Tamandua tetradactyla: one gene and its partners. The protein of the gene in region 3 interacts with the protein of the main gene of each other region in a pairwise test. Links are inferred from orthologs where the notes say so. Each region holds a gene or a part of one and is shown on either strand. Other genes may lie near its edges. The genes, in order: NR4A1, ZNF446, PGBD1 and SCAND1.

What was found.
Region 1: the proteins of PGBD1 (region 3) and NR4A1 interact in binary tests that used the Homo sapiens proteins (3 or more experiments, as listed by UniProt). The two-hybrid records come from large-scale screens. The link is inferred for Tamandua tetradactyla from reciprocal best matches to the Homo sapiens genes PGBD1 and NR4A1.
Region 2: the proteins of PGBD1 (region 3) and ZNF446 interact in binary tests that used the Homo sapiens proteins (3 or more experiments, as listed by UniProt). The two-hybrid records come from large-scale screens. The link is inferred for Tamandua tetradactyla from reciprocal best matches to the Homo sapiens genes PGBD1 and ZNF446.
Region 4: the proteins of PGBD1 (region 3) and SCAND1 interact in binary tests that used the Homo sapiens proteins (3 or more experiments, as listed by UniProt). The two-hybrid records come from large-scale screens. The link is inferred for Tamandua tetradactyla from reciprocal best matches to the Homo sapiens genes PGBD1 and SCAND1.

The regions. Positions count from the first base shown.
Region 1 is NC_135333.1:113,415,506-113,423,058, reverse strand, and holds the start of NR4A1 (nuclear receptor subfamily 4immunitygroup A member 1), read right to left. Parts: upstream 3,023-7,553; 5' UTR 2,105-3,022; intron 487-2,104; exon of another isoform or gene 135-486; 5' UTR 33-134; intron 1-32. UniProt on the Homo sapiens protein: Orphan nuclear receptor. Binds the NGFI-B response element (NBRE) 5'-AAAGGTCA-3'. Binds 9-cis-retinoic acid outside of its ligand-binding (NR LBD) domain.
Region 2 is NC_135342.1:176,422-183,612, reverse strand, and holds the start of ZNF446 (zinc finger protein 446), read left to right. Parts: upstream 1-4,170; 5' UTR 4,171-4,250; intron 4,251-5,276; 5' UTR 5,277-5,316; coding exon 5,317-5,658; intron 5,659-5,735; coding exon 5,736-5,928; intron 5,929-6,139; coding exon 6,140-6,234; intron 6,235-7,015; coding exon 7,016-7,100; intron 7,101-7,191. Other genes in the region: uncharacterized protein LOC143658493, read left to right, coding at 1-281. UniProt on the Homo sapiens protein: May be involved in transcriptional regulation.
Region 3 is NC_135331.1:194,888,205-194,895,515, reverse strand, and holds the start of PGBD1 (piggyBac transposable element-derived protein 1), read left to right. Parts: upstream 1-4,304; 5' UTR 4,305-4,372; coding exon of another isoform or gene 4,373-4,387; intron 4,388-5,082; coding exon of another isoform or gene 5,083-5,200; intron 5,201-7,211; coding exon of another isoform or gene 7,212-7,311. Other genes in the region: ZSCAN26 (zinc finger and SCAN domain-containing protein 26), read left to right, coding at 4,373-4,387, 5,083-5,200, 7,212-7,311.
Region 4 is NC_135327.1:16,517,481-16,523,474, reverse strand, and holds SCAND1 (SCAN domain-containing protein 1), read right to left. Parts: upstream 1,168-5,994; 5' UTR 1,119-1,167; coding exon 621-1,118; 3' UTR 507-620; downstream 1-506. Other genes in the region: CNBD2 (cyclic nucleotide-binding domain-containing protein 2), read left to right, coding at 1,203-1,754. UniProt on the Homo sapiens protein: May regulate transcriptional activity.

The DNA of each region.
Region 1 (7,553 bases), on a different chromosome or scaffold from region 3:
CCGTGCCTCAGTTTCCCCATTCCAAGACTCACCAGCTTCCTCCTCACAATTTGACCTTCAGAGATCCTGGGCAACCACAGGAAAGGAGAATCCTGGTTTCGGTTGGGGGCCCTTCCTGGTGGCCTCGGGGAGCCCTGTGGAGAGAGACGTGACTGCCCTCCCCAGCTGCCCTGTACCAGCTGAGAAGTGTCTGGACGTGGAGCTCTCTCCAAGCCAGTATGTCCTCTTCTGTTTATATAGCAGAAACCAGAGCCGGCCTCTGGGGATGGGGGGGAGCCAACGCGGGGCCCTCTTGGCTAGGGCCTAACTTTGGCCCAGGTCAGCAAGAACTCAAAATAGTCAGCTGACGGGAGCCCCGGTGTGAGCGTGACCCTGGGCCCATGCCCAGGCCTGGCAGACAGGTGCCCACGTCACAAGACCAGCGGCTCAAACACTCCCAGGGCCCCTGCGAGCAGCCCCTTGGGGTGGCCTTGGCAGAGTATCCAGCACGGGAGTTCCATCCAATCACCACCATCACCCAGACAACAGGGTAAACACAAGAAGTTCTGCCCACCCAGTGCTTCTGTGTAGCCGGAGGGAAAGCCAGGAGCTTGGGAATCCAGGTCAGGCCTGGGGGCAGAGGTGGGGGCCAGCGGAGGGAAAGTGCCTGGCCACTGCTGTCATCCTCCCTCACGTGCTCCCCAAGGCCACATCTCTGGCTGACCAGAGACACCTGCCTCTCCCACTGACCGTAATTCCTCTCTCCGCCCTGGCCTGAGGTGGCTGGTGCAGAACCTGCTGCCAGCCAGAGGCCAGGTGCACACCCAGCCCAGCCCCTGGAACAGGAGACCCTGCCTCCCCGCTTCCACCTAGGCTCAGACCGGACACCCTGTCTTCCTCCCTCTGCACATTGAACACCAAGTTCACACGAAGCAACAGTGTTTGGAGGGGTTGGGGGAGGAGATATTGAGCCAGCTCCTGCTTCATCTGGAGGGCTCTCAGTCCTGAGGGCTCTGTTGCTCAGTGATGCTCTTCAGTACAGGGGAAGGAGGAAAGGGACCACAAGGACCCTGTCCAGAGTCCCTGTCCCTGTGCCAGGTTGAATTCCCAGCTCCCTCAGGTGGCCGTCAAGACTCAGTTCCTTTAGCCCCATCTCAGCATCTCAGATCCCCCAAGGAAACAGCAGGTGGACTGTCTCACCCTCACCCTCACCCTCACCGACAGACTAGCTTGCTCCTTCTCTGGAAGCACCCTCAGCAATAAAGATGTGTCCTCCACCATTACACCGGGCTTTCAGGCTGGCCCTGAGACCCAGGACACCTGGATTCTAGGCTGCGCTCTATACATATGCCCTGTGGGACCTTGAAAAGTCCCTTCTCCCCTCTGTAATTCAGTTTCTTCATCTGTAAGAGGAGGGGGTGAGCAAGAGAGCCAAGGATTCCTCTAGCCATAGCCACAAGTCTGGGATTTTCCCTCTCAGGGATGTCGGATGAATAGTGGAGGGTTTGTGCCTGCCCTTTGTTAGCAGCTATGATCCCACCAAGATTCCCCCCATCCATGAGGCCACTTCCTCATACCACGGACTCTGCAGGCCCTATAGTCCTGCCATGATGGGAAGGGGGGACAGTCGGCAATCTTTCTGGGGAGGGGAATCTCAGCCTTCCCTTCATGCACTCCCTCTGGAATGAGGTCTACAACATGGAAACAGGCCAGATGCCCCCACCCCACCCCCACCTCTGCCAGCTTTGCCCTACTACACTCCCAGCCCAGACCCAAGTTCCTCAACCCCATCCCATCAGCTTCTTGGAACCAGGCAGGTGCTATGCTGGGGGCACCTGTCAGGCTCCTCCCTACCACCCGTCTGTGGCACCTGGCCCCAGAGTCCTCCCAGCCTATCCTGCTGAGAAAATCAGGCTTCCCCTTTTCTCGCCCCCATGCACTCCCACCACAGAAGAAATCAGATCTCCTGATGCTGTTTAGCACCGTGCCTGCCACCTCTGCAGGGCTTCCCCCTCCACCCCCCAAACCACATCCACCTCAGGCAGCTCCACACCCACCCCTGCCCCCCAAACCCAACTGCACAGGGGGCCCAAGGGTGTACAAATGACAACAGTAGAGCACTTACCACCCTCAGTGGACCAACAGGCCTTGGCCAACACTCAAACCATCCCTTCGGGGCCTGGCAGGCAGATTCAGGACACCAGGGAGGAGCCGGGGCTAGCCCCTGTGCATGGTGGAGGCCTACGGAAGAGTCAATGTCAGAAAGGAAAAACCACCCATCCAGCAGGCGCATTCCCTGGAGACAGCCCAGCCAGGAAGCACAGGAGCGGGTACAGCAGCAGGACTCAGCCACAGGGGCAGACAAGCCAGCCCGAGGTCCCCGCCTGGGCTAGTTGTCAGGGGCTGGGGGCCCACACTCTGGGAAAAGCGCTCCCGGGATATGAGGTGTGACCAGCTGCTGCTGATGGCACCTGGGGTACCTCAGAGCCATAGATCCTTGCCAGTGCGCAGCCCCTCAGCCTCTTACCCCACTCCTGAGTGAGGGTGCCTCAATCTAGCTCCCAGCCCCGTGGCATGCACAAAAGGGCCTTCTGTAGGCAGAGAAAATGGTGACAGTGTGACGACAGAACAGGACACATCCCTCTCTCCTTCAGGGGCTTTAGCTTGGCCCCCAAAGCCTCAGGGCCTCCAAAGGGCACAGCTCCATGCCCCTGTCTCCTGGCAGCCCAGCCTTCTAACCTCTGTGATGGACTCCAGTCCCCAATGGGAAGGCCTAACTGAGAGCAGAGTGGTTAAGAGCACAGATGCTGGATCCCTGACTGCCTGGGTTGAAATCCCAGCTCCATCTCCTGTAACCTTGGACAAGTTATATAACCACGCTGTGTCTAGGTTCCTCGTGTGTCAAAATGACAATCAGAGAACTGTCGTCAGTCCTAAAGTGAGTTAATATGTGTAAAAGAGTGAGAACAGTACTGAGTACACATATGTGCTATATAAATATTAGCTTCGTGATTAGTATAAATTAAATAAGGACACACAAAAGCTACACCACCAGACCCAGGCTCCCACTGCCAGCCACTCCTGGACACCTGGCCTCTCCATCACGCTTGATGCCAACTGTGTGTCCCACCCCCACCTTCTGCTCACCAGCCAACCCCACAGGCGCCCTACCTCCCTTCCCCTCTTCCCAACCTCATTTAGCCCTCTCCTCTTCCAGATGGGGCCCAGAGTGAGAGCAGGGTAGGCCCAGGATTGGCCCTCACTGTTATCAAGTTGCCTTTCAAGCCAAGATGAAGTTTGTGACAAGGGAAGTAGGTGTTTCCACGATGGGAAGAAGAGGGAGCAAGGCTGAGGGACCCAGAGGGCAGAGGGCAAGCAATGGGCTTCCACCCCCTCCCTACCTCTGCTCCAGGGTCCACAGGCTAAGGGGGACTCCTCTGGCCCGCAGTGCCCATACTTTTCCCCTCACCCTCCATGTCCCTGTGGATGCAGTGGGGAGCAGGGAGTAAAGGCCACCAGAGAAGAGGGAGCAGAGGGCAGTCTAGAACATCTAGAGGGCTTCCAATCCAAACTGAAATCGAAATCACATTTCAGACCTGCCCCAGCCCATGGGCTGCCCTTCCTTCCCAGAATGACAATATCATTCTTCCCCATCCCAATCAGGCCTAGGGGTTCCCCAAACCTTCCCTTTCCTCCCTGCCTGCCTGCAGCTGGAGGAGAAGGGAGCAGGTCGGGGACAGCCAGACCCAACCTGAGAGCTCAGGTCTCCATCATGTGTATCTGAGAACAGTGCCTAGAAAGTGATTCAAAACCTCTTAGCACGACCACCTGATACCATCTCCTGCCACAGATCAAAATTTCCTTCCCAACAGTCATTCCACAAGCATTTATTGAGAACCTACTGTGAACCAGGCAGGGTGCCATGAACAGTAGGAAATCTAAGAAGATCAAATTACCTCTACCCTAGGGGGGACAGGCATAGAATAAACCAAGATCAGTTATAATCAATACTGTACAGAGGGTAGACTGAAAACTGGAGGAGGAGAAAGCGATGCCCCCAAAATGGGATGAGAGTCCCCTCATCACCTTATCTCCTCTCCACTCACTGTGCTCTAGTCACATGGGCTTTTTTTCCTACCTCAGGACCTTTGCACAAGCTCTTCCCTCTGCCAAGAAAACCACTGTTCCAATGTCTGCATGACTGGCTCCATCAGGTTCCTATTCCCATTTCACTATATTAAGAAGCCTTACCTCCTACCCTATTAATCATTTTTATTTTTCCCATAGGACTAATGTTTATTTGTTCACTTATTTATCCTCTGTCTCCTGAACTAGAAGGTAAATAAGAACCTGTCTGTCTCAATCACCACGGAGTCTTTGGTCTCTAAAGGAGAGCTCAGGATGGATAGGTGCTCAGTCAATAGCAGTGTAAATGGGGGCAGGAGCCACAAACACCTGTACTGGAGCCAGGCTGGGAGGACAGTTGGCCAGCCATCTGCAAAGTGGTGGGGAAGTCATTCCCACTAAGAAACCTCCTGTGCACAGCTCACAAAGCTGTCCTTTCCACTTTGGGGCAGATCGGAGGGTTCTTCCCTCTGCTGGGTCACAGCCCCAATTCCAAAGCCCCCAGCCCCAAATCCCAGTTTTGCCCCCTGCATGGGCCCAGCCAGAACCTCCTTCATTTTCTTCCTATCAAGAACTTATTTGAGTCTTTTCTTATCTAAACTCCAACTCCCACTCACAACAGGGTAGACCTTCTGCAGCCCTGGTGGACTTCTGGACACGATCTCTGCATTGGTCAATGTCCCCACCTAGAAATGACAATACTATTATTATGAACAATTATAACAGCAGCTGATATTGTCAAATACCATGTGCTAGAAACAATGCTAAGCACTTTACATGCATTTTTTTCATTTCAGTCTCACAATGTTGAGGAATGGATTATCATTATACACATTTTATCGATGAGGAAACTAAGGCACAGAAATGTTAAGCAACTTGCCTGACGTCACATAGCTAGGAACTGGCAAAGCTGGGATTAGAACCCAGGGAGCCCGACAGAGGATGCCAGGGCCAGGTACTGCCCGGCCACCACCACCACCAGTGTACCCAGTAGAGGCTTCAGTTTGATAGTGCCCACCCACGGAACTGGTAGGAACTCGGGCCCTGCGGTGCTGAACAGTTGAGCCAGGCCTCCCATCAGGCCTGCACTCCTGAGCTGATTTTCTGAACTCCTGCCCAGGCCCAAATATTTAGCATCAGTCACATTCATCTTGTTAATTCTGGCCCATTTTCATGCGGTAATTCAGAATCTTGATTTTATCCTACTGTACACTCGTCATTCCTCTCAGCTCTGGGTCATACAAAAGTTGGCTGGCTTCCTAAGACCTCTTACCCCAAGTCACTGATCTAAATATTCACTTGTAGTGGGTCTAGGACCAAGCCTGTGGCCACCCTGTTCAGGTTGATTTCAGTCTCCTAATCCATCAGCATCCTTAGCTTATAACTGATCTGAATCTACCCACCTCTGCCCAGTCTGCATTTTCCCAACATGCCCATAATACCAGCCCCCAAACCCAGATTAACACTCCACTGTAAACGGGACGTGCCTCTTCTGCAACATTTCTCTCTGCCCACCAAGCCACCTATTAAAAACGGAGGCGTAACGGGGATTTGAAGTCAAGGACCGGTGCCTTTGCCTCAACACACTGCAACCTTTGCCTAGAAGCGCCGCTCGAACCCCCAAGTATAGGTCGGGAGGGAGGTTGCTGCAGAAAAAAGCGCTGCCCTGGGAGATGCCGGACCCGAGTCCGAATCCCAAATTCGCTCCTGACTCCATAAGACCCTCTTCAGCCTGGGTGTCCTGACTCAGTCCCACGAAGGAGCTGTCCGGGACAATTCCGGTCCCTCCCGTCTCGGCCTCCTGGCAGCCGAGCTCCCGACCTCCTGGAACCCGTTCTCCACGGCCGACGGGGAAATGGAAGGAATTTCTCCCGCCTGGCCATCTCCAGCGCCCCTCGTGAGCCAAACCCCACCCTTGGCGGGCTAGGGAGAGAAAGCCTTGGCCGTCGCACTTGAGAACTGACTCGGAGCCAGCAAGTTCCGCTGGGAATCCAGCCCCCCAGTGCAGCCCCGGTTCCCGGCTTCCAAGCAAGACTCCCAGCGTGGCCCCAAGCCCACCCCGGCGCATCCGCACAGACCTCCCGATGCTCCCTCTGCTACCACTTTATCCCTTTCCAAGCTGTCCCCCTCACCTTGCAGGGCGAGCTCCGCTCGCCTCTCCACCCCCGCTTTCCGGGGTCGCGCACCAGCTTGCCGGGAGCTGCTCTGCACTGCAGGGGCGCCCATCCCGGGAGGCCGGGGGTCGCGCGCACCACGCTGGGGCCCCCACCAGTTCCGCTGCCGCCGCTTGGCGCTCCTACAACCGCGCCGCAGCCTCTCGGCGCCCCCCGCCCCCGGGAAGCCCCCCGCCCAGCAGTTCCGGCCGCCGCCGCGCTCCCCGCCCCCGCAGCCGGCGGCCGCCCGCGCCGCAGTCCCAGCCTCGGCGCGCCTTCCCCCCGGCGGGCGGGCGGGCGGGGACCGTGACGCGCGCCCATTGACGTCTCCGGAATCCCGGCGGCGGCGGCCGACGCAGCCTCATCAATGGGGCTAAAAATAGAGGCGCCCGGAATAGCCGCGAGCGCCCCGCCCCGCGGCACCCCCCACCCCAACACACACACATTGCACACGCTGTTACATAACCCGGCTCGCTGCGGCCGGGGGGCGGGGTAGGGGAGGCTGTTTTTCAAGTGAGGGTTCTGAGGCCTTGCTAACATCTCCCGAGGCAGCTGAACCCCGAGCCGAGCCGGGGTATAAATAAAGTTACCCAAATAAACTTACCTGGGGCGTCCCCTGAGGAAGAAGTGGAAAAAATGAGTCCCAGAGAAGCTCCGCGGCGGCCCAAAGTCACACAGCAAATTGACTGGCTTGAGAGGATAGAACCTCAACCTCTGAGCCCTGGGCACACCCACCAATGTCTCTTAGCCTGCCTGTCACCCCAAGAGCAAAGAACCCAGCTAGCAGGGCACCCAGCTCCCAGGCAAGAAGGTAGCTAAAGAAAAAGGGGACTTCCTGGGAAGGCGAAATTTCCCCTTAACAGAAGTAGTCCCAGATGTGGGAACGCTAGTAAGGGCAAGGCCTAGGAGGTGAAGTCACTGATCTGGCTTCTCCTACTGTCTGTAAGTAGAGCAAGTCCCTTAACTTCTCTGAGCCTCACTCAGTCTCCTTACCCATGAAATGGGGATGATAATATTATCCACCTTTTCTGGTTACTGGGAGGATTGAACAACTGCAGAGATAGATGCTTTTTACATGGTAAGTACTCAGGGTTAGCTACTCCCTCCTTGCTGTCCCCTTGGCATCTGACTTCCCACAAAGCACAGGAGTGTTCAGTGCAGGAAATGCACAGAGTACCCTGACAAAAGGGCTGGGAAGCCCACCTCCACTGACCATAGTCTCCAGGCACAGTCACTTCCAATAAGAACCTTTCTCAGGGTGGAGGTGCTTGGAAGGTTTCTCTCTCCCACCTGACT
Region 2 (7,191 bases), on a different chromosome or scaffold from region 3:
GCGGCAAGGCCTTCGCCAAGGGCGCCGTGCTGCTCAGCCATCGGCGCATCCACACCGGCGAGAAGCCCTTCGTGTGCACGCAGTGTGGCCGCGCCTTCCGGGAGCGCCCGGGCCTCTTCCATCACCAGCGGACCCACACCGGCGAGAAGCCCGCGCGTCGGTCCCGGGCCAGGGCGCCGCCCAAGACTCCGGCCCCCGCCACTGAGGCTGCGCAGGCAAGGGGTGCGGAGCAGAGCTCCGCCGCAGGCTTGGCCCCGGGCCCGAAGCCCCCCGAGGCCTGACCCCTCCGGACCGAGCCCGTCCTCTGCGGGGCACCACTTGCAGCGTGGAGGCCCCGTCCGTCCTGCATGCTAGCCTGGGACCCCCGGCCCTGGCGCTGACCACATTAGTGGAAGGTGGGGCCAGGGCCTGTGCTTGTGGTTCTCTGCACTGGACAAACAGTCCAGAAGAAGGACTCCTGGGGCCTCAGCAGCGGCCACATCTCTCCCACTCTGCTGTTCCAGGTCAGACTCAGGATCAGCCTTGGCACTCTCACGCCCTGATCGGAGGCGCTGGCGTTGATGCAGGGGAGGTGCTGGAGAGCAGACAGAAACTGGGAGGACTTGCCCCAGTGGGGGACCGCCTCCAGAGACACGCTCCCGACACCCTTCCCCCGGTGAGCCTGGGCACTGAGCCAGGTGGTGGTAGCCCAGTTTGCTTCCTGTGGTCTGCAGCTGCTGTGTCCTAGCTGGGGGGGCCGTAATCTCAGGCAGTGAGTGCTAAGATCGAGAGGGGAGGGGCAAGACTAGGGTTCACAGCTTGGAATGGATATAAGCTGTGATTTTTTGGTGGGCAGTGTTGATGGCTTTGCAGAAATCCAGCTCCAAGGTATGGTCCAGAGTCTAAAGATGCTCCCTTAATAAAGGTTTCTTTATAGCTCTGTGTGGACGATAACGGCCTGACACCAGTTTCACTAGCACAATGCAGACATTAAACCAACATTTGCAGGCCTGCCACTGATATGTGTCATTGTCACAAAGGTTCAGGGGTTCGGCTTCGGGCTAGAGAGGCCCCGGGGCCTGGTCTGCTGCCTACGGAGGGGCTAGGAAGCCTGTGTTCCTTCAGTGGCCATATGGGCCGTGGGGTGGTGGCCCTATCGCCGCCCCTCTCCTGGGAATGAACCATGATTCAGCCCCAGGGCAAGGGAGAGAGTGGTGGGCAGAGAACCGAGGCAGAGCTGCACATTGCTTGGTGCTGATGGAGTGGAGTGTACCTGTGAGGACTGCATAAGGCTGACCCCAGCTCAGTGGTACTCATGACTCATCAGCCCCAAGACTGCAGAACCATCCCTGTCCACAAGGAGCACTCAGCCTGACCCCTACCTGCCAGCCAGGCCAGACCCACCTGCCCCGTGAATCGCAGCCCTTCAAGGAAAGTGGGCCCAGCAGTGGGAGGCACCTGACTCCCCAAGGCTCCGGGAGTCCCTGGCCCACCATCCTGTCTCCCACGCCCTGTCTAAACCTCAGTCTTGCCCACCTCCCACCCCGGTCTGGCCTCCCTCACTGGGCTGGTCCCACCAGCCTCCATCTGCACAGCTGTGAAATCTAGAGGAGCCCCCACCCCTTCTGGGGGCAGAGGCACCTTATAGATCAGAGAGCAGGTCCTAGAGTGAGTCATATGGGAACTTTTCTGTGCCTTGGATGGAAGCTCCTGAAGCCAGGCCTTTGTCCTCAGTCCTCCTTACCCTCTGTCGACATCTGGGCTGGGCTCAGCTGCCCTTTCCTCTCTCCCTACCAGCCACCAACCCCCGAATGTAGAGCTCCTTCCTGTCTCTGCACTTCTGCCTTTGCTGCCCCTTGGCTTACCCAGGTTAAGTCTGTGTCCACTGCCTCAACTCCCAATAGCACCCATGAGCACCCGCCTGCTCTTTCTATCCCACTTGTGCTTCACCTTCATGTCTTGGGTCCTCAGTTGTCCCCCCCATACACACCTACTCTTGTCAGGTTGGGCCCTGACCTGCCAGGGTGGGCCCTCCTTTACCCTGAACAGGCCTTTACTGGGAAAGTGTCCCTGGGCTTTCTGGGTCATGATGGTGGGCTGAACACATGCCTCTCACTCAGCTCAGAAACACCTCTAAAACCACAGAAAAGGGAGTGCTTAAAACACAAGCCCATAAGTTTGAAGATGATGGAGTCAATGGCAATATCATTTTGCAGCTGGAAGCAGGTGGGGGAACTGTCACTGATTTAGAAAAAGCCAAGTACTGAGTTGGCGTTAAGGGGAGTACAGGGAGGTCCCACCAGGCAAAATTCCAGAAGGCTTGTGAACCAGCAGCTCCAGCACCTCAGGAATAGGAGAGGGACTACCAACAAAGAAGACAGGGAGAGCTACTTGAGAAGCAGTTCCATCTCCGGCTCTCTCCCCACCTGGTGGACGTGGAAGATGCATTTCTGAGGAATCTGCATAGTGAAGAGGAGAGATCTCAAGATACTCCTGTTGAGATCCTCCCCCCACCCCCACCCGGGAGAGTTCACCCTGATAACTCCACAGGGAGGCTCAGAGTTAGCAAGTCCCACCCACCCATGGACTCAGCACTTCCCATCCGTGTTTAAGATCACTGCTTTTCACCATAAAGCAAGCAGCCAGGGAGTTCCAGGAATCAGAGGAAGCCAAAACAGACAAATGCAATGTAGGATAGGACAGATAAACCATGGTTCAGCCATTTGATATACAGGTGAAAAAAGGATCCCATCTCATAGTCAGATTTTAATTATGCACTGAGATAAACTAGTTTTAGTCCCCGAAATAAATCAGTCTCTCACCAAAAGTTTGAATGGAAATCTCCATCTTTCTCTTTGCAGGGCTGATGTCCAGAGACATCAGAGACTGTGAGGGATAATCACATGACCGGGGTGCTCCTTTTCTGCCGTTACAGACAATACAACCTTGATCACCTTGGTAATTCTGCAAGTTTAGTTTAGTTTAATTTTAGTTTTTAAATAACTAATGTGTTCTCATTTTGGAAGTCAATCTCCCTAGAGTCAGAGAAGCTCATCTTGGCAAATAAGTGTCTTTTCTTTTCCAAACGCATTTGTCTCTAAGTCTTCCCTTAATTGCAAAGAGCCTGTGTTTCCTACAGTGTCGTATTCACCGAAAATAAGTTAGACTTTAAATGTTTATTAAAAATGTATAAATAGAGAAACAAAAACAAAAAGTAAAGCATCCCAATCTTAACAGGGGCAAATTGAGCGGTAAGATTAACTTTAAACCTTTCCCCATTTTCCAAAGTCAGTGAAACAATGTTGTTTTTACTATTTTGTTTTCTATTACTTACTTATTTCTTATTATTAGGTTTTTGTTTGTTTGTTTGCTTTGCATGGGCAGGCACCAGGAATCAAACCAGAGTCTCCAGCATGGCAAGCGAGAATCCTACCAGTGAACCACCGTTGCACCGTCCCGTTTCCACTATGATTTTGGAATGTCATGTATTTGTTAATGTCCTGAAAGGTCGTGGCCTACGTGAGGGCCAAGGTAGTCGCTGAAGCAGTGCATGGGCGCCCAACCGAGTTCCCTCACATCCATGTGGCACTCCGCGGGGGGGCGAATAAAGAAGCCCAGCGCCTCCTCGCCCTACGCTGGGGCGGAGAACCTCCCGGGGCGACCGAGAAACACCGCGGCCAGGCCGGTCTCCGCAAGCCCGCTCCACCTGCCCCGCGACCCACATGCCCCCGAAGCTGCGCTGCAGCCAGCTCGGGCTGTCGGGAACGCACGGGACGCTTTTCGTTTCCGCGGAAACCGCGGTTGCCAAGGAGACGCTAGGGCGGGGCAGGAGGAGCGCCGGCTCTGATTGGGCAAGCGTCAGACGCGCTTGCCAATCGGCGCCGGGCCCGTCTGGCACGTGCGCAGCGTCCCAAAGCAGCGTCCGGGTCGGTGTTGGTGAGGCCCGGGGCTCGGGGGCGCGGGGAGAGAGCCGCCGGAGAGGGATGGGACTCCCAAACTTTGTGACCTGCAGGCCCCGCGTGCACGCGCCTCTCAAGCACGAGCGGGCTCTAGAAATTCGCGCCCACCGGCCAAGGCCAGGCCTCTGCGTTCTACCTGAGGCTCATAGGAAATGTAGTTCGAAGGGGGCGGGGCCTTCGAGCAGGCGCGGGATTGGCCAGAGCGCTGTCGCCATGGCAACGGGCGGGAAGGGCGGTGCGCTTGCGTAGAACGGGTGGTCGGGCAGTCCCGGGTCCGGGAAGTGGCGGTGGAGCGCCGGCCCCCCGGCTGAGGTGAGCACGGGCTGGCTGGGCGGCGCGGCCGGCCCACTCCCCCCGGGACTCTTGGCTCGCGCGCTCCGGAGCTCCCTCTTGGGTCGCGTCGCGCCCTTTTCCAGGCCGTCCCTCCTCAGCCCTGGGCCCCTCTCCGTGACGACCAACCCCCTCCCCGGTGCTTCGGGCGCCCTCGGGAGCAGAGCCCCCGGAAAGGCCGGGCTGGGGGCTCCTCTGGCTCATCTCTCCGCCCCCGTCCGGAGTTGGGCGAGGGGAGAGTTTTTTAAAACTCAGCTTAAAAACTGCACCCATCCCTCCTTTTAGAGCAGAGCAAAGACTTGGTGGGGGTGGTTCCCGCCCGCAAGCCCTCTCTGCAAGTCCGGGTGCTGGGGCTGACCCAACCCCACGCCAAGCGTGTGGCTCTGATTTGTTTTGCTTTTGCGTTTTCACACGCACAGGCCTTGCGAGTCACCCACAGTTCACGTGTTTACAAGAACGGCGTCCCGTCGTCTCCCTGGGGGCACCTGACTCTCCAGCCCGTGTTCCATATTCTGGCTGGACATTCAGCCCCTCAGGATGCCCCGTTTGGGTTGGCATCTCCGGGCGCCACTCCCACCGCTGCCCTGCCGGCCCGCACATGCCACCTACTGCCCCCTCCAGCGCCCAGTCACTCTGGATCTGCCTGTCCCTCATTCTCTTGCCCAAATATTCACTCTCCTCCCTGTTCTGCCCAACACCTTCTGAGGCTCCTCAGCCCAATCTCCAAGGCCGGTGGGGACTCTCCTTGCTCACCTGCGGGCCATTATTTCCCAACAGTCCATGGTTGTACTGAAGCGTGTGCAATTTCCTGGAAGCTCCCTGGACACCTTATCCTGGACATACGGCCCCAAGGCTTTATTTTTTCTCTGATTCCCATGACCCCCTCCCGTCCACGAAGCCTCCCAGGCCTTACCTGTGGCCCCAGGGTCCTCTTTCTGTCTTAGTCTCAGATCTCTGGGCTTGGCCGGGAGCCCATTGCCTGGCATCCTGACCCTTCCCCTTCTGCAGGTCCCACCTGGTGACTCCAAGAGAGACCCGCAGCACAGAAATGCCATCCCCCTTGGGTCCCCTGCGCCTGTCCCCAGTGGACCCCATGGCCACCCTGGAGGAGCGCGAGGCCGCGCGCCTGCAGTTCCGACACTTCCGCTACCAGGCAGCGGCAGGTCCCCGCGAGGCCCTGGCCCAGCTGCGCGAGTTGTGCCGCAAGTGGCTGCGGCCCGAAGCGCACTCCAAGGAGCAGATGCTGGAGCTGCTGGTGCTGGAGCAGTTCCTGGGCGCACTGCCCCGCGAGATCCAGGCCTGGGTGCGGGAGCAGCACCCAGACAGCCCCGAGGAGGCCACGGCTCTGGTAGAGGGGCTGCAGCATGACCCAGGGCAGCTGCTGGGCTGGGTGAGTGTGGCCAGTGCTAGTTTTTTGGAGGGACAGACCGAGGTCAGGGGCCCTGTGACTCAGTTCTTCTTCCACAGATCACAGCTCATGTGCTGGGCCTGGAGGTGCTCCCAGCAGCCCAGAAGACAGAGGAACCCCTGGGGAGCCCCCACCCCTCAGGGATGGTGAAGCCTGCTGAGGCAGCCCCCCGGGAGGGGACACAGGGCACAGGGGAGAAGCCCAGCCAGCTCGGAGTGAAGGAGGAGCCAGATGCCAACCGGCAGGACATGGGTGAGGGAGCCCTGCGCAGGGGCTGGGGCCTCCTGGATGGAACGGAGTAGGGGTCCTGGGGAGGGACATAGGGTTGCTGCCCACCATGTGGCTGGCACAGGCAGTGCCTTTTGCCTGGCCGTTGGGGAAGGCTGGAGTAGTAGCATCAACACCTGCCCTCCCCTGCGCTGTCATGGGCAGTCCCTACCCCTCTGCCCAACTTGCTCCCTAGGACCTCCAGGGCCCCCGCTTCCAGTCCGGCCTTCTGAGGGATGTGTTGGAAGCGAAGAGCCAGCCTCTGGGTCTTGTCTCCCACCCAGGATTCAGGTGAGTAGCCCTGGGGGAGGTTCAGAGGTCCCAGGTAGGAGGAGTATGTCCCTGGTGGCCGCTCCACATCCTCCCAATTCTCCTGGACCCCAGGCCAGCAGCTTTTGGTTCTTCGCTGCCTGGGAGTTGGGTCACTGTCAGCAGGGACCGCTGTCAGCAGGCCCTTGGGGACAGGGAGGCAGGCCAGCAGCCTCTCTTCCATGGCAAAGGATTTCAGCACAGGCAACAGAAACTGGTTAGAGTAGCTGGAACTCCAGTGGTTGAGGCGGGAGGCTCTCAGGTGCCTGGCGCTGTGCTGGCATCGAGGGGGGTGAGGTGACTGACCCGGTTGGGAATTCTGCATGGCAAGCACAGAGATGCCACCCTTCCTGGGACATTCTCACAGCCGGCCCTTTCCTGGGGGCTTCTTTAAGTCTAAACAGCCATAGCAGCCCCCAGGCCCAGGAGCGCTTGCCACCTGCAGAGAGGCTTGGAGGGAGGTGGCGAGTTGCTGGGGCCTGGGGGGGTCCTGCATGTCCTCTGACTTGCCCCTGTGTGTGACTGTTGAGGCTGGAGTGGCAGGAGGGGTGGGTGGGGCTCGCCACATTGTCCCTGCTGCCTGGGGCGCTGGCGGTCCCCAGGGCTGGTCTAGGGGTCTTCGGTAGAACATGGGGCGAGTGTAGCCAGGCGGGGAGGTAGGACCACGTGTCTGGGTTCCAGCCTTAGCCCTCTTGCCCCCCGGAGAGCCCAGCGCGGTGTCCAGGTTGGGATGGGCTGGCTGTGAGCAGGGTGCCTTCCGCAGAAGGAGTGGAGCCAGTTGGATGCCTCGCAGAAGGAGCTGTACTGGGACGCGATGCTGGAGAAGTACGGGACGGTGGTTTCCCTGGGTGAGGACCCCCAGGCCGTGTCTCCCACCTCACCGCCTCATCCTGGCCCGGCAGTCCCCGCCTGTCTGCAGGCCCCTCCCACACTCTCCTG
Region 3 (7,311 bases):
CGCCGCAGCTTGGGGGAGTGCCGGTCCAAATTGCCCAGCTGGCCCGAGACGCCAAGCGTGGCGGGAGGGCCCCGCTATCCAACGTTCCCAGTCAGACCGGGGAGCCACGTGTGTGGAGGGGACCCCAGTCGCCAGCCGCCCCGGCCGGGAAAACGCGCGCCCCTCGGGTATCTCACCACAGCGGATTCTCCCTGCCCATTCAGCCGTTCCAGAATAGGGTATGCTGTCTTTTTGGTCTCTGTTGTGGCTCCGGGAGCTGTTTCCTATTGTTTCTGTTTCTTAAGTTGCTTTTCTGGAGGAGGAACTAAGACCCGCGCCTCTTACTAAGCTGCCATCTTCTCCGTCTGATAACCTTATTAATTACACTTCTTTCCCCCTGTTGGTCAGAATGGCATTGTTGATCCCATGGTACCAGGGCCAGGCTCATCCCAGGGAGTCTCTCCCATGCTGCCAGGGAGACTTTTCCTCTGGGTTTCATGTCCCACGTAGTGGGAAGGGCAATTATTTCCCTTGCAGACTTAGAGTCAGAGAAGCCACATCTGAGCAACAAAAGAGGTTGTCCGGAAGTAAGTCTTAGGCATGCCTGTAGATAGGCTAAACTTCCCCCCTATACATGTAAGCTTCACAAGAGCAAGCCTCCAGATCAAGGGCTTGGCCTATTGATTTGGATGTCCCTAATGTTTGTCACAGTATTAGATAATTTCCTAATGGTAAAGTTTAATATTTCCATATTTTTTCTCCCTTTCCTCAAGGGACTTTGTCAGTACATTTTGATTATCTGCTTACTGTATTTTAGGATGTATACAGGCATTACATTAAACTATACAGGATTAAAGGCCCTCATTCTTATTCTGGGTTCCCTGTATTTCAGTTGTTCAAGTGAGCTGTCCAGACAGGTTCTTATATTATGTACTACAGAAAAATTTAGGTTCCAGACAAAATAAACCTTTTTTCCTTTGGTGTCAAAGAGTAGGTATGGTTCTAAAATGTAGACAATGTCTTCTTTACCCCTGTATTCTGAATTACCTTAATCCCAATCTGATCAGCTTCATTCTTATCTCTAAATATCAGGTTATATATATATAAATATATATAACATATATAACATATATATATTTATATACATATATAAAATAGCCTCTTAAAATCCAGAAATAACAATTACCACTCTGGACTGAATTTGACTGCTGTAGGAGCTTACAATCTAAATGAGATAATATAATATTTGCTCTTTTGTTTCTGGCTCATTTTGCCTCAAGGTTTTGGTTTTTTTATAAGTCCATTTTTGACAAAAAAAAATTATCAGCTAAGGAGTCTTACTATGTGCAGGTTCGTGAATACATAATAGGATGTATTTTGACTCTGATCAGGCGTAGTCACTAATCAGGTGAGTCCCTCCCTCCTCCAAGTATACACCGATTCAAAGACATGTATCAGCAGTGGGTGGATAATACTTCATTCTTCTTCAGACTCACTCGAGTAGTTATAATCAAGAATGCTAAATCCCCAAGTATCCAAGGGCCTACTCCAAGGGATGGTGGTGGTGCCATTTTCTGAGTTCTTTTTTGTTATGCTGTGTTTGAGAGGCTTTTATAGGGTGTCTAGATACCAAATAACCAGAAGGAAACATGTATCAGGCACTCTTGATAGATCTGGACTGAAAAATAAGGAAATCCTCAGAATAAAGACAGTAATTGAAGTCACAAACACTCCTAACTTCTGGCCTGTCTCTCTCCTTTTGTTCAGTGTCTTACTTCTTGAAAAGAGTAATTTTTGCTCACTCTCCATTTTCTCATTTACCCATGTCAATCTGGCTTTTCTCTCCATTTCTCTACTAAAATTGCTTTCAAAGAAGTCATCAGTGACCTCTGTGATTTTGAATCAAGTGGATAATAAGTCAGGTCTCAGTTTAATTTACTTTCTTATAGCATTTCCCACTCTTGATCATTGCCGTCTTATAAATCCATTTATAAATCAATGAATTCCTATTCTTCACAATTATTATCTCATTTACCTCAAAACATCTCTGTGAAAGAGTGAACCCTGATGTAAACTATGGATTGTAGTTAACAGTATAATAATTTGCATCAGTGGTAACAAAGGTACCACACTAATGCAAAACCATTCTCTCTGTAAAACCTTTTCACCATATTTATACCTGACCACCTTTCACTTTTCTTTTAAGACTTAGAAGGATTCACCTCCAAGCTTTTTCAGATCTGCTGTGAGGAATTAGGTATCTTACCTCTGTGCCTACTAGCATCCTGTGCATACCTTCACAGTAAAACTCAGTGCACTGAATTGCAATTGCTTGTTTCCCTGAGGTGTCCTGAGAAGCAGAGAACTGTTTGAGGCTAGGGGATTGTCTTTCACCTCTGTGTCCCCAGCATCTAAGAGATTCTGGTAGGTAGTAGACAGATTGTAAATGAGATGAGTTATGCAAATCCTTGTGTTCTTTTAGTTAATTCTATTGATTTAGCTTTAGCTCATATATCAATAGTATACAGTCAGTTCTTATTATTTGCAGATTCCATATTTTTGAATTCACCAACTTGCTAAAATATATTTGTAATCCCCAAATCAATATTCACAGTGCTTTTGAAATCACTTGTGGACATGCATAAAGAGTGAAAATATGAGTCACCCTGTACACGTTCCAGCCAAGATCAAGCAAGGTGATGCTTTCCTTGTTCAGTTCTCATACTAAAAACGTTTTTGTTGTGTATTTGGTACTATTTTTTTTGTATTTTTTTAATTTTTGCTTAAAGTGGCCCTGAATGAAAGCTGTCTTATGTCCCTAAGCACAGGAAGGCTGTGATGTACCTTAGAGAAAATACATGTGTTATATGAGCTTTGTTAGGGCATGAATTACAGTGCTGTTGGCCATGAGTTCAATGTTAATGCATCAACAATATATATCAAATAAGGTGTCTTTAAATAGAAGTATGCATAAAACAAGACTATGTGTTATTTGGTTGATGAGAATATGGTGACCAGAGGCTCACAGGAACCTAACTCTGGATTTCCCTTAGGAGAAATGGTTCAGTTTTTACTAATTCTCTGTTCACAACAACTTTATAGACTACAACTACTGCAAATAATGAGAATTAACTGTATTTATTTTGTGTCTTTGTGTCTTTCCCCCCAACTTTTTGAGAAATTTCAAATTTACAGAAAAGTTGACGTACTACGAGTAGTACCTATTTACCTTCTCATTTAGCAGTAGTAGTGAATTTCCTGCTATATTTGTGCACTCTCTCCACACCAACCCACTCATACTTTTTTCCTGAAACATTTGAAGATAAGTTTTAGCATGCATTCTCCTGAGAATAAAAATATTCTCGTATTTACTACAAAACTGTTATCCCTCAGAAAAGACTAAAAAGAAGTTGGCAAACTTTTTCTTTAAAAGGCCAGACAGTAAATTTTTTTTGTATTTGCATGTCATAGAATTTCTGCACCTACTTAACTTTGCCATTGCAGTTCAAAAGCAGACATAGATAGTATATAAACAAATGGGTATAGCTTGTGCTTCAGTAAGACCTTATGCTCAACAAGATTTGAGCTGTTTTTGACTTGCTGGACCATAGTTTGCCTACCCCAAATCATAATATTCAAATTTCCCTAATTTATAAAATATATATATATATATATATATATATATTTCACACATTGATTGCATTTAGTTTTCTCTGTAATTCTAGACCTGTACCCTCTCCATACCTTTTCTTTATTTTTGTGGAATTGTTGGTTTTGAACAGTCCATGCCTCTTGTAGAAAGGGCTACATTCTGGATTAATTCAAAAGCTTCCTCACTATTAAATTCATGTCAAGCCTTTTAGAAAAATTGCTACATAGGTAATGAGGCACATGATGTCTGATTGTCTTGCTACTTGTAATTTCCTAAGTTTGATCATTTGGCTAAGTTTGTGACTGCCAGATAATTCCAGTTTTTCCTTTTGTAACTAGTAAGAATCCATGTGGTGATACTTTGATACTGCAGGAATGTCCTGGACCCCTACTCCATTCACATAGTGGTTTTAACAATCATTTGTGGTACTTCACTAGATGATTTACGGCTATGAAATGATGAGTTTGTATATCTATTATTCCTTCTATATTAGCTGGCAATCTTCTATAAGAGAGTTTTGTCATTTTTGTATGTGCCTTTTTTTAGGAATGGTTGTTTAGAAGAGATTAAAAAGGATAGTAGCTTTTGGAAATGCATCAACCCAAGAAGGGAATATTGCTGTTGTTATTACTACTGTTATTACTGTTTCTGTAACTCTTATTGTTACATGTTTAGGACTATCCCTGAGGAGACAATCCAAAGAAAATTCTCTAAAACGGAGAAAGCAGTTTAAAGCTGGAGATGGCAACAGTAGAGGTGAGTGCTCGCCCCCTGGCTCCCCAGAATCTGAAGGAGGAGGGGCTTTGGGTAGTGAGGGAGGATCACTGCTCTGCTTGGGAACAGGAATTCAGGCTGCAAAGAAAAAGCAAAGACCTTGGTCAGGAGATGTTGTGCAAACAATTCAGGCAGTTCCACTATGAAGAGACCTCAGGACCTCGACAGGCGCTGAGCTGGCTCCAGGAGCTCCGCCTTCTGGCTGTGGCCTGAGATCCCAGCAAGGAGCAGATCCTGGAGCTGCTGGTGCTGGAGCCGTCCCTAAGCATCCTGCCCGAGGAGCTGTGGGCCCAGGTGTGAGAGCATCACCCAGCGAACGGGGAGGATGCAGGCACTGTACTGAAAGGTTTGGAGCCAGAGCTTAGAGAAGCAGGACAAGAGGTGGTAAAGGTCAGGTTTGTTCTTTCACATAAAAGCAGGAAGTGAGACCTCTGACCAGTGGGAGAATTGCTAAACTTGTTTGTTTAGTTTCTTTCCAGTTTGGCTGTTCATTTCTGGGGGTCTCACCTCAACCTTATCTGTTCTCTGCTGTGAGGAGGCTGAATTGAATAATTTCCAGATTCCTCATCTCCTTTTCTTTGCTCCTTTAGGTTTGTCTTTGTTCTTTTTTCCAACATTGAAGTGTTTTTCTAAAGAGCAGTTCCCTCTTAAGCCCTCCTGTACCTAATTGTCCCTAGGACCCAGACCAGACAAAGAAACAGAAAATACCTGTGGAGGAGATGGCCCCTGTGAGAGCAATGCAGGAGCAGCAGGTCCAGCCGAAGTGTGAAGTTCAAAGGCCTGAAAAAGAGAAGGGTGAGAAATGGAGAGCATCTTCTGTTGTGTGAGATGTGGTGGCCATTGCGTTCCCCACTTGAGGCCGATTTAGCACCCTTGATACTGTGTTTGGAATCAGGTTTATTGAGGTATAGTTTACATACAGGAAATTTCACCCTTTTTAAGGGTACAGGTCAGTGAGTTATCACAAATGTGAAATGATAAGTCATATGATCATGACTGGAGCAGATTTGGAAATCAGATAGGGAAGTAGCTTGCTTTTCTTCCTTTTACTATAGAGATAATTTTTCTATAGTATTTCCTTTTGCAATAGAGAGGATAGAGAAAGTAGTGTTAGTTTCTCACAGAAGGCAAACAATCTCAGCCACAGGCTATATTATTCATTTTCTTATTATCTCCTTAAAATTATTATAAGTGGCTACTGTCTTTTATTTCTAAATGTCATCAGGATTTTTTTTCTCTACTATATTTTCTTTGTCACTAAAATTCCTCTATCCAATTTGTATTCCTTAAATTTTTCTTTTCTTCCTTCTATTCTGATAGAGCCCCACTTCTCTTTTTATTTTAGTGTCATCATAGTACTCCCATTGATGTTAAACTTAACCACCATAATTTAAACACAAATTCAGTAAGGTGGCTCCCATGTTTAAAATCTTTCAGTGCTGGGTAATGTTATTTTCTCTACTTTTTTTGGATGTTGGAAAAATTCTATACTAGAAAGTAAAAAACAAAAGTAAGGGGAAAAAAACACCACCTTCAGAGACTCCCCGTTGCCACTGACCAAGGCCTCACATAGCATGGGCCGCTATTGGCTCCCTACCCAGCCTTGTGTCACTAGGGTGACCAGTTTGTCAAGACTGTTAACGTCCTGGGAAACCCCTCAGTTCACACATGCTCAAACTGTGTTCCCATCATGCTGAGGTTCATTCCATTTCCCATGTGCTTCCTATCTCTTCTGAGTCATTGCTGCCTTGTTTCTTTTGTCTGGAACACTTTTTCCTCACTCTTCCTGGCTAATACATAGTCATTCTTCAGGACCTATCTTCGATATCGTTTCCTCTGTCTTTCCTTAAGATCCTCAAGGCTGAGTTAGTTTTTCCACCTATGTTCCTAGAGCCCCAAGATTTCTCCTGTGGTAGAACTGATTATATTATATTATAGTTGCTGGTTTGCTTTCCCCCCTCCCCAGGCATTACTTCCTCTTTTCTCCCAGCAGGGATTTTGTTTTGTTTCCTGAGTCAGTCCCTGGCCTAGAGTAGACACTCAGTAAATGTCTATTCAGTAAATGGCTGGTATTATATATAAAACTGTCCTTTACCTACTAGCTACTTCCCTATTTAATTTCCACGTCTGCTTCAAGGGTTACCTTCTGTGAGCCTTCTGAGTAAAGTAGCTGAAAGAGATGGACTTAACTTTTCTGAATAATCTTGCAGGAATTTATGCCATGTAATGATAGGTATGTATTTTAAATATGAAGAATTAATGTGATGACACTATATTCTTGAAAATATTCTGTATCTTTTGGATCTTATTGAATATTGTATTTTATGTCCAAAGTTCAGGTTAGTTTTTAGTTTCAGAGTTCGCTTCCCTTTTTGTTTTTATTCCCTCTCCTTAACTCATTCTTACCCTCATGAGGCAACTTCATTCTCAGTGATAAAATTAGTCTACATTTCTTCATTTTCAGTTAAAGGGTTATCCCTTTGCCATACCTTTCTTATGAATTCCAGTCCTTAACTAAGCTAGCTTTTCTACTCTCCTTGTGACAAACCATTTTCAAAAATGTACATCTGTACCCTTTAAGATGGTTTGTTTGTTTGCTAGCTTATGTATGTGCATGCATGTATCACAAAATAAAAGGCAACCTCTGTTAATTTCTTATGTATCTTATATAGTTTATACAGATGCAAGCATACATATTTTTCACTTTTCAAACATGTTTGATTTTAAACTTTCCCTCCTAGTTTATAGATTCCTTTCCCTAAGCCTAAATAAAACATGTGATTGGTGGTATATCTTAATATTTCAGATAAGGAGATGAGGACTGAGAATAGAAGGCTGGTTGTAGAGACAGACTTTTGTGGATCAGTGAAATCATCTGGGAAATTATCTGAGCCCATAGAAGCTCA
Region 4 (5,994 bases), on a different chromosome or scaffold from region 3:
ACTCATAAACATTAGTCTTTCTCCAGAAGGGCTTGCAGTAAAATGCTTCACATTAAAACACCCCAATAGCCGCTGGGAAGCACGTGGGTCTGGAGCAAAGGGTCTGGAGCAAATTGGTAGCCAGTCATCATTTAATAACTCAAACCACGTTGCCTCCAGGATCTCATAATCGTTTATTTAACAGGATTTATTATCCCTATGATTTATCTTTTCAAGTGGAATTCTAGTTAGTAAGATATATTAAGGCAAATGTAACTCAAGAGCCTGTTCCTAATCCTCATTACACAACCTTGTGGGGCCCTAGGGAGCACAGGAAAAACAATCCCTGAAATCTAGCCAACATGTAAGGGCACCACAAAAGCCAACGGTGGCCCCCTGGGTAGGAAACCAAAGCCGTCTCGTGGGCTCCCAACTTTGTTTCACTATTAGTTAGAAAGGTGGAGATATAAACTCGCTAAAATAAACCCTGTAAAGGACAAACGAAAAGACACACCAGACCACAAGAATTGTCAAAGCCAGTTTTTCATTAACGCGGGGTGGAAAGGCAGGGCCAGGCCCCCGGACCTTGATATGATTCCAGTCCAGGGAGCGCCAGGTCCGGCCGTCCGCAGTCCGGTGGCTCAACCCGCGATGCGCACATCGCTGCTGCGGCCCCGCCGCCGGTCCCGCGCCGCCTCGGGGAGGATGGCGAGAAGCTGCTCCTGCACCAGCATCTCCACGATCTGCTCCTTGGTGCGGATGTCCGGCCGCAGCCACTGGCGGGAAAGCTCCCGCAGCTGCCGGAATGCCTCCCGTGGGCCGGCCGCATCATGATAGCGAAACTGCCGGAAGCGCTGGCGGAAGGTTTCCGGGCCGAAGCCGGCGCCGCCAGGCCTCGGCAGGGAACGCGGTGCGGCTTGGGCAGGCGGCACCGGGCCTGGGGACTGAGGCGCGATGGGCAATTGCGAGGCCGCGGAGGCCGTCGCGGGAGGCCTAGGAATCGCTTCGGGGGGTGCGGCGTTGGGGCTGGAGGGCTCGGGGGCAGGCGGTGAGGCCACTGGAATCGGAGAAGAAGCCGCCAAGTTACGTTCCGTGACCGAGCTCGGGTTGGCTCCTTGCTTCTCCAACGGTGCCGCCATGACTCCGGCCCTGGGCGTCACTCTTTGTGTGGCAACTGTGGGTTCAGCACTGCGTCGGTACGGGGGCGGGGTAGAGAGAGAGAGATGTTTCGGGTAAAGGCACAGTCCGCGCCACTTTGGAGGGAGGCGGACGCGGGAGCGCGGGGAACCTACCTGTACCGGCGAAGCGCGGGGCAACCGGAAACGGAAGTTTCTTTCGGCTTCTCTATGGTCCTGCCGGCGCTCGACCTCTCGAGCGCCGCGTCTCTGCTCCGGGATGGGGCGCCACCTCGCGTTCGCAGGTCGACGCCGGAGGCGGCTGCGACCGCGGTGGACAGAGCCAGTGGAAGCGTGCTGTGTACTCCGCAAAATGATGTTTCCTCTGAGGAAGACGAGGAAATGGTGGAGGAGGTGGAAGAAGAGGTGGAGGAAGAGGAGATAGAAGAGGAGGAGGAACAGTCCGAAGGGGACGACGTAGACGTCGCTTTCGGGATCTTTAGCGATTACGACCACTTGGGCGTGCGAAAGACCAGCGCCTTCTCCGGCGGGCGCGCCTCCTCACTTGGTGGCCGGTGGGTGAGCGGGGCGGGCCGACGGTCGGGGCTTAGGACAGGGAGTTCGAGTCCCGCCCCCGCCGCCTACCCGCTGGCGGCTCAGGTAAGTCCTCTAACTCGGAAGTTCCCCATTCTTCAGAGGAGGACGGCACTAGCACCTGCCCCATTGCAAGGATGACATAATATATGTAAGAACCACAATTTTTGCGTGTCCTCAAAACCAGTAAGTTTCAGGCTAGTAAGTGGACCGTAAACGCATTACCCCATACAGCGGTTACGTGTGTTTACTGAGCCCTCGAAATATAGTCAGTTCAAACTGAGTTGTGCTGTAAAGTAAACTGCATGCTGTATTTCAAAAACCTAATTCCAAAAGAAAAAGGTAAAAGACCTTAACTATTTTTTTATATTGATTACTTGTCAGAATGATAATACTTTGCATGTAGTGGATTAAATAAACGATTTTATTAAAATTAAGTTCACCTGTTCATTTATTTTTTCAATGTGGCTAACTAGAAAATTTGAAATTCCATATATGGCTTGCATTCTATTTCTGTTGAACAGCGCTGGGCTAGTGTTGGAGTCAGGCTGCCCTGTTGAATTCCCATTGCGTTATTTGCCTTATATCCCCAGACAACAATAGTACCTACTTAACAGAGTTGTTGAGAGATTAAATGGAAAGTAAGAACGTTTTAAATGTTTGTGGTTTTCATTAGGTAAATTGCTTGCTATCTCTGTGCTTAAGACTTCTTATCTGTAAAATGTGGATGTAACACAACTTTCCTCATAGAAGTGACTGAGTCATCAATGAGATGATCCAGGTAAAAGCACATAATTTTTGTTTTTTAAGTTTTTTTTTAATTTTTAGAATTAAAAAAAATGACAAGAAAAAAACACATTCTTAGCATATGATCATTCCATTCTACATATATAATCAGCAATTCACAATATCATCACATAGTTGTATATTCATCATTATGATCATTTCTTAGAACGTTTGCATCAATTCAGAAAAAGAAATAAAAAGACAACAGAAAAAGAAATAAAACAAAAACAGAAAAAAAAAAATTATACATACCATACCCCGTACTCCTCCCTTTCATTGATTACTAACGTTTCAGACTAAATTTATTTTAATTAACATTTGTTCCCCCTATTATTTATTTTTATTACATATGTTGTACTCAGCTGTTGACAAGGTAGATAAAAGGAGCATCAGACACAAGGTTTTCACAATCACACAGTCACATTGTGAAAGCTATATCATTATATAATCATCATCAAGAAACGTGGCTACTGGAACATAGCTCTACATTTTCAGGCAGTACCCTCCAGCCTCTCCATTACATCTTGAATAACAAGGTGATGTCTACTTAATGTGTAAGAATAACCTCCAGGGGTGGTCCATGGTGGCTCAGCAGGCAGGAATGCTTGCCTGCAATGCCGGAGGACCCAGGTTTGATTTCTGGTGCCTGCCCATGTAAAAAAAAAAAAAAAAAAAAAAAAGAATAACCTCCAGGATAACCTCTTGACTCTGTTTGGAATCTCTCAGCCATTGACACTTTGTCTCATTTCACTCTTCCCCCTTTTTGGTCAAGAAGTTTTTCTCAATCCCTTGATGCTGAGTCTCAGCTCATTCTAAGATTTCTGTCCCACGTTGCCAGGAAGGTCCGCACCCCTGGGAGTCATGTTCCACATAGACAGGGGGAGGATGGTGAGTTTGTTTGTTGTGTTGGCTGGAGAGAGAGGCCACATCTGAGCAACAAAAGAGGTTCTCTTGAGGGTGACTCTTAGGCCTAATTTTAAGTAAGCTAGACCTATCCTTTGTGGGCTTAAGTTTCATATGAACAAACCCCAATACTGGGGCTCAGCCTATAGCTTTGGTTGTCCACACTGCTTGTGAGAAGATCAAGAATTCAACTTGGGGAGGTTGAATTTTTCCTCGTTCTCACCATTCCCCGAAGGAGACTTTGCAAATACTTTTCCACTCACTGCTCAGATCACTCTGGGATTCATCGGGGCATCACTCTGGACAAACCAACAAAATCTCATGTCCTACACAAGGTTCCGTGTACTTACGGTGTTCAATTAAGCTATCTGCATAAGTTATATTAGGAAATGCACTAGTCAAAATATAAATTTTGTACCAAATAAACATTTTTTTTTTGCTTTAGTCTCACCCATAAGTTGAAATTTTAAAATATCAGTTACCATCTATTTTCAGCACCCTGGAGTAATGATATTCCTTTGTTCTTCCTCATGCAAAAACATTTTTAAAATTTGTGCATTTAGTCACAATCATTATATACTCTAGGCATTCCTAGATTACACCATCTGTCTTTATCATCTATCTTTCTTTCTGATTTCATTTGTGCCCCCAGCCCTCCTCCCTCTATCATTCTCACATTCAGCTTCATTCAGTGTTTTAACATAATTGTATTACAGTTAGGTAGTATTGTGCTGTCCATTTCTGAGTTTTTATATTCAGTCCTGTTGCACAATCTGTATTCCTTCAGCTCCAATTACCCAATATCTTACCCTATTTGTATCTCCTGATTGTCTCTGTTACCAACTAAATATTCCAAGTTTATTTACTAATGTCAGTTCATATCAGTGAAACTATACAGTATTTGTCCTTTTGTTTCTGAAAGTACATAATTTTGACAGCCTTTTGGTAAATGATACTGAATTCTGTTTGACAGCTGACTCACATAAGTTTTACGTCCCCATTTTACAGATAGGGAAACTGAGGGCAAGAAAGGGACAGAGGTCCTGATTGATAGGTTCTGTATGACCTGCACTGTCCCTCTGAACTCTGCAGGATGGGTGGGCATGTTGAACAACCATCAACACGCAGTAGCCCTGACATAAAACTTGCCCCTCACATTGGATGTGCTACTTCCGATAGAAGTGGATCCTCATGGAATGGCCCCAAAATCTTGAAAGTCATCGAAATGGGTCTTTACTTTTTTTTTAAAAAAATATTTTTTATTGATAAATCTTGAGATGTAAACATACAAACATTCTTAACATACAACCATTTCATACATGGGGTACAATCAATGGCTTACAATATCATCACGTACTTGTGTATTCATCACCATGATCATTTTTTAGAACATTTGGATCACTCCAGAAAAAAGAAAGAAAAAAGAAAAAACTCATGCATACCATACCCCTTACCTCTCCCTCTCACTGACCACCAGTATTTCCATCTATTTATTTTAACCTTTGACCACTATTATTCGTTTATTTTTATCCATATTTTTTTTACTCATCTGTCTATATCCTAAATAAAAGAGCCATCAGACAGAAGATTTCACAATCACACAGTCACACTATATAAGCTATATCATTAATACAATCATCTTCAAGAAACATGAACTACTGGAACTCAGCTGTACAGTTTCAGGTGCTTCCCTCTAGCCACTCCAAGACATGGTCTTTAACTTTTTAAAAACTTAGTTACTAACAATTTAAAAGATTCACATACAAATCTGAATTTCCAGCTTTACTTGAAAAAGTGAAAGAGCTGAGCACACTGGACTCACATTCTTTTTGACCAACAATCAGATAAAGCTGAGTAGAGAGTCGTTTAGACAAGATACTTGGTTCCAGTTGACTTTAGTCCCTACAACTTGCCCTTGTTACTTGAAACAGAGTGCTGTTTGCATTAGTAAATGCAATAGTAATTGTTTTTCTTAGAGCTGATATTTCTCTCTCTTCTTCTCAGAGGTGGGAGCACATGATCCTAGTGTCAGTTATGCCTGTTGGCTTAAACCTTGCCTGGTTCTCGGGCAGTGGGCCCTTAGACAGTACGCTGCACTAAGTAAACCAACAGTCCTATTTGCTGGGTCGTAACAGCCAACAATATCCAGAGCTAAGGGAGCATGCCACACTGCTGCCGGGTGAGGGGTATGGGGAGGCCTCACTGGAGAGGAGGTTTTCGCGCTGAGACTCAAGAAGAACAATCCGGGTAGAAGTCATTGTCTGTACAAAGGCACAGAGTGAGAGGGAATAGAACTGTGGAAACTGCAGGCTAGACTGGGAGTGTTTGGAGTCTGGCGAAGGGTGTGAAAGATGAGATTAGAAAATCAGTAGAGGTCAAATCATGAAGAGCCTAGAATTCCAAGCTGAAAAACTGAATTCTAATCCTCTCAGAAAGGGAATGAACCCTTGTGATATTTGGAATCATGGAATGTTAGATCTCTAATCTATTTCTACCATCTATTCTGTTGGAATCATGGAATGCTAGTGATCTGTTAGAATCGTGGAAAGTTAGAATGGAAGGGGGCCTTAAGATGGGAATCCAAAAAACCAGTTCAGTTATTCTTAACCCTTTATGG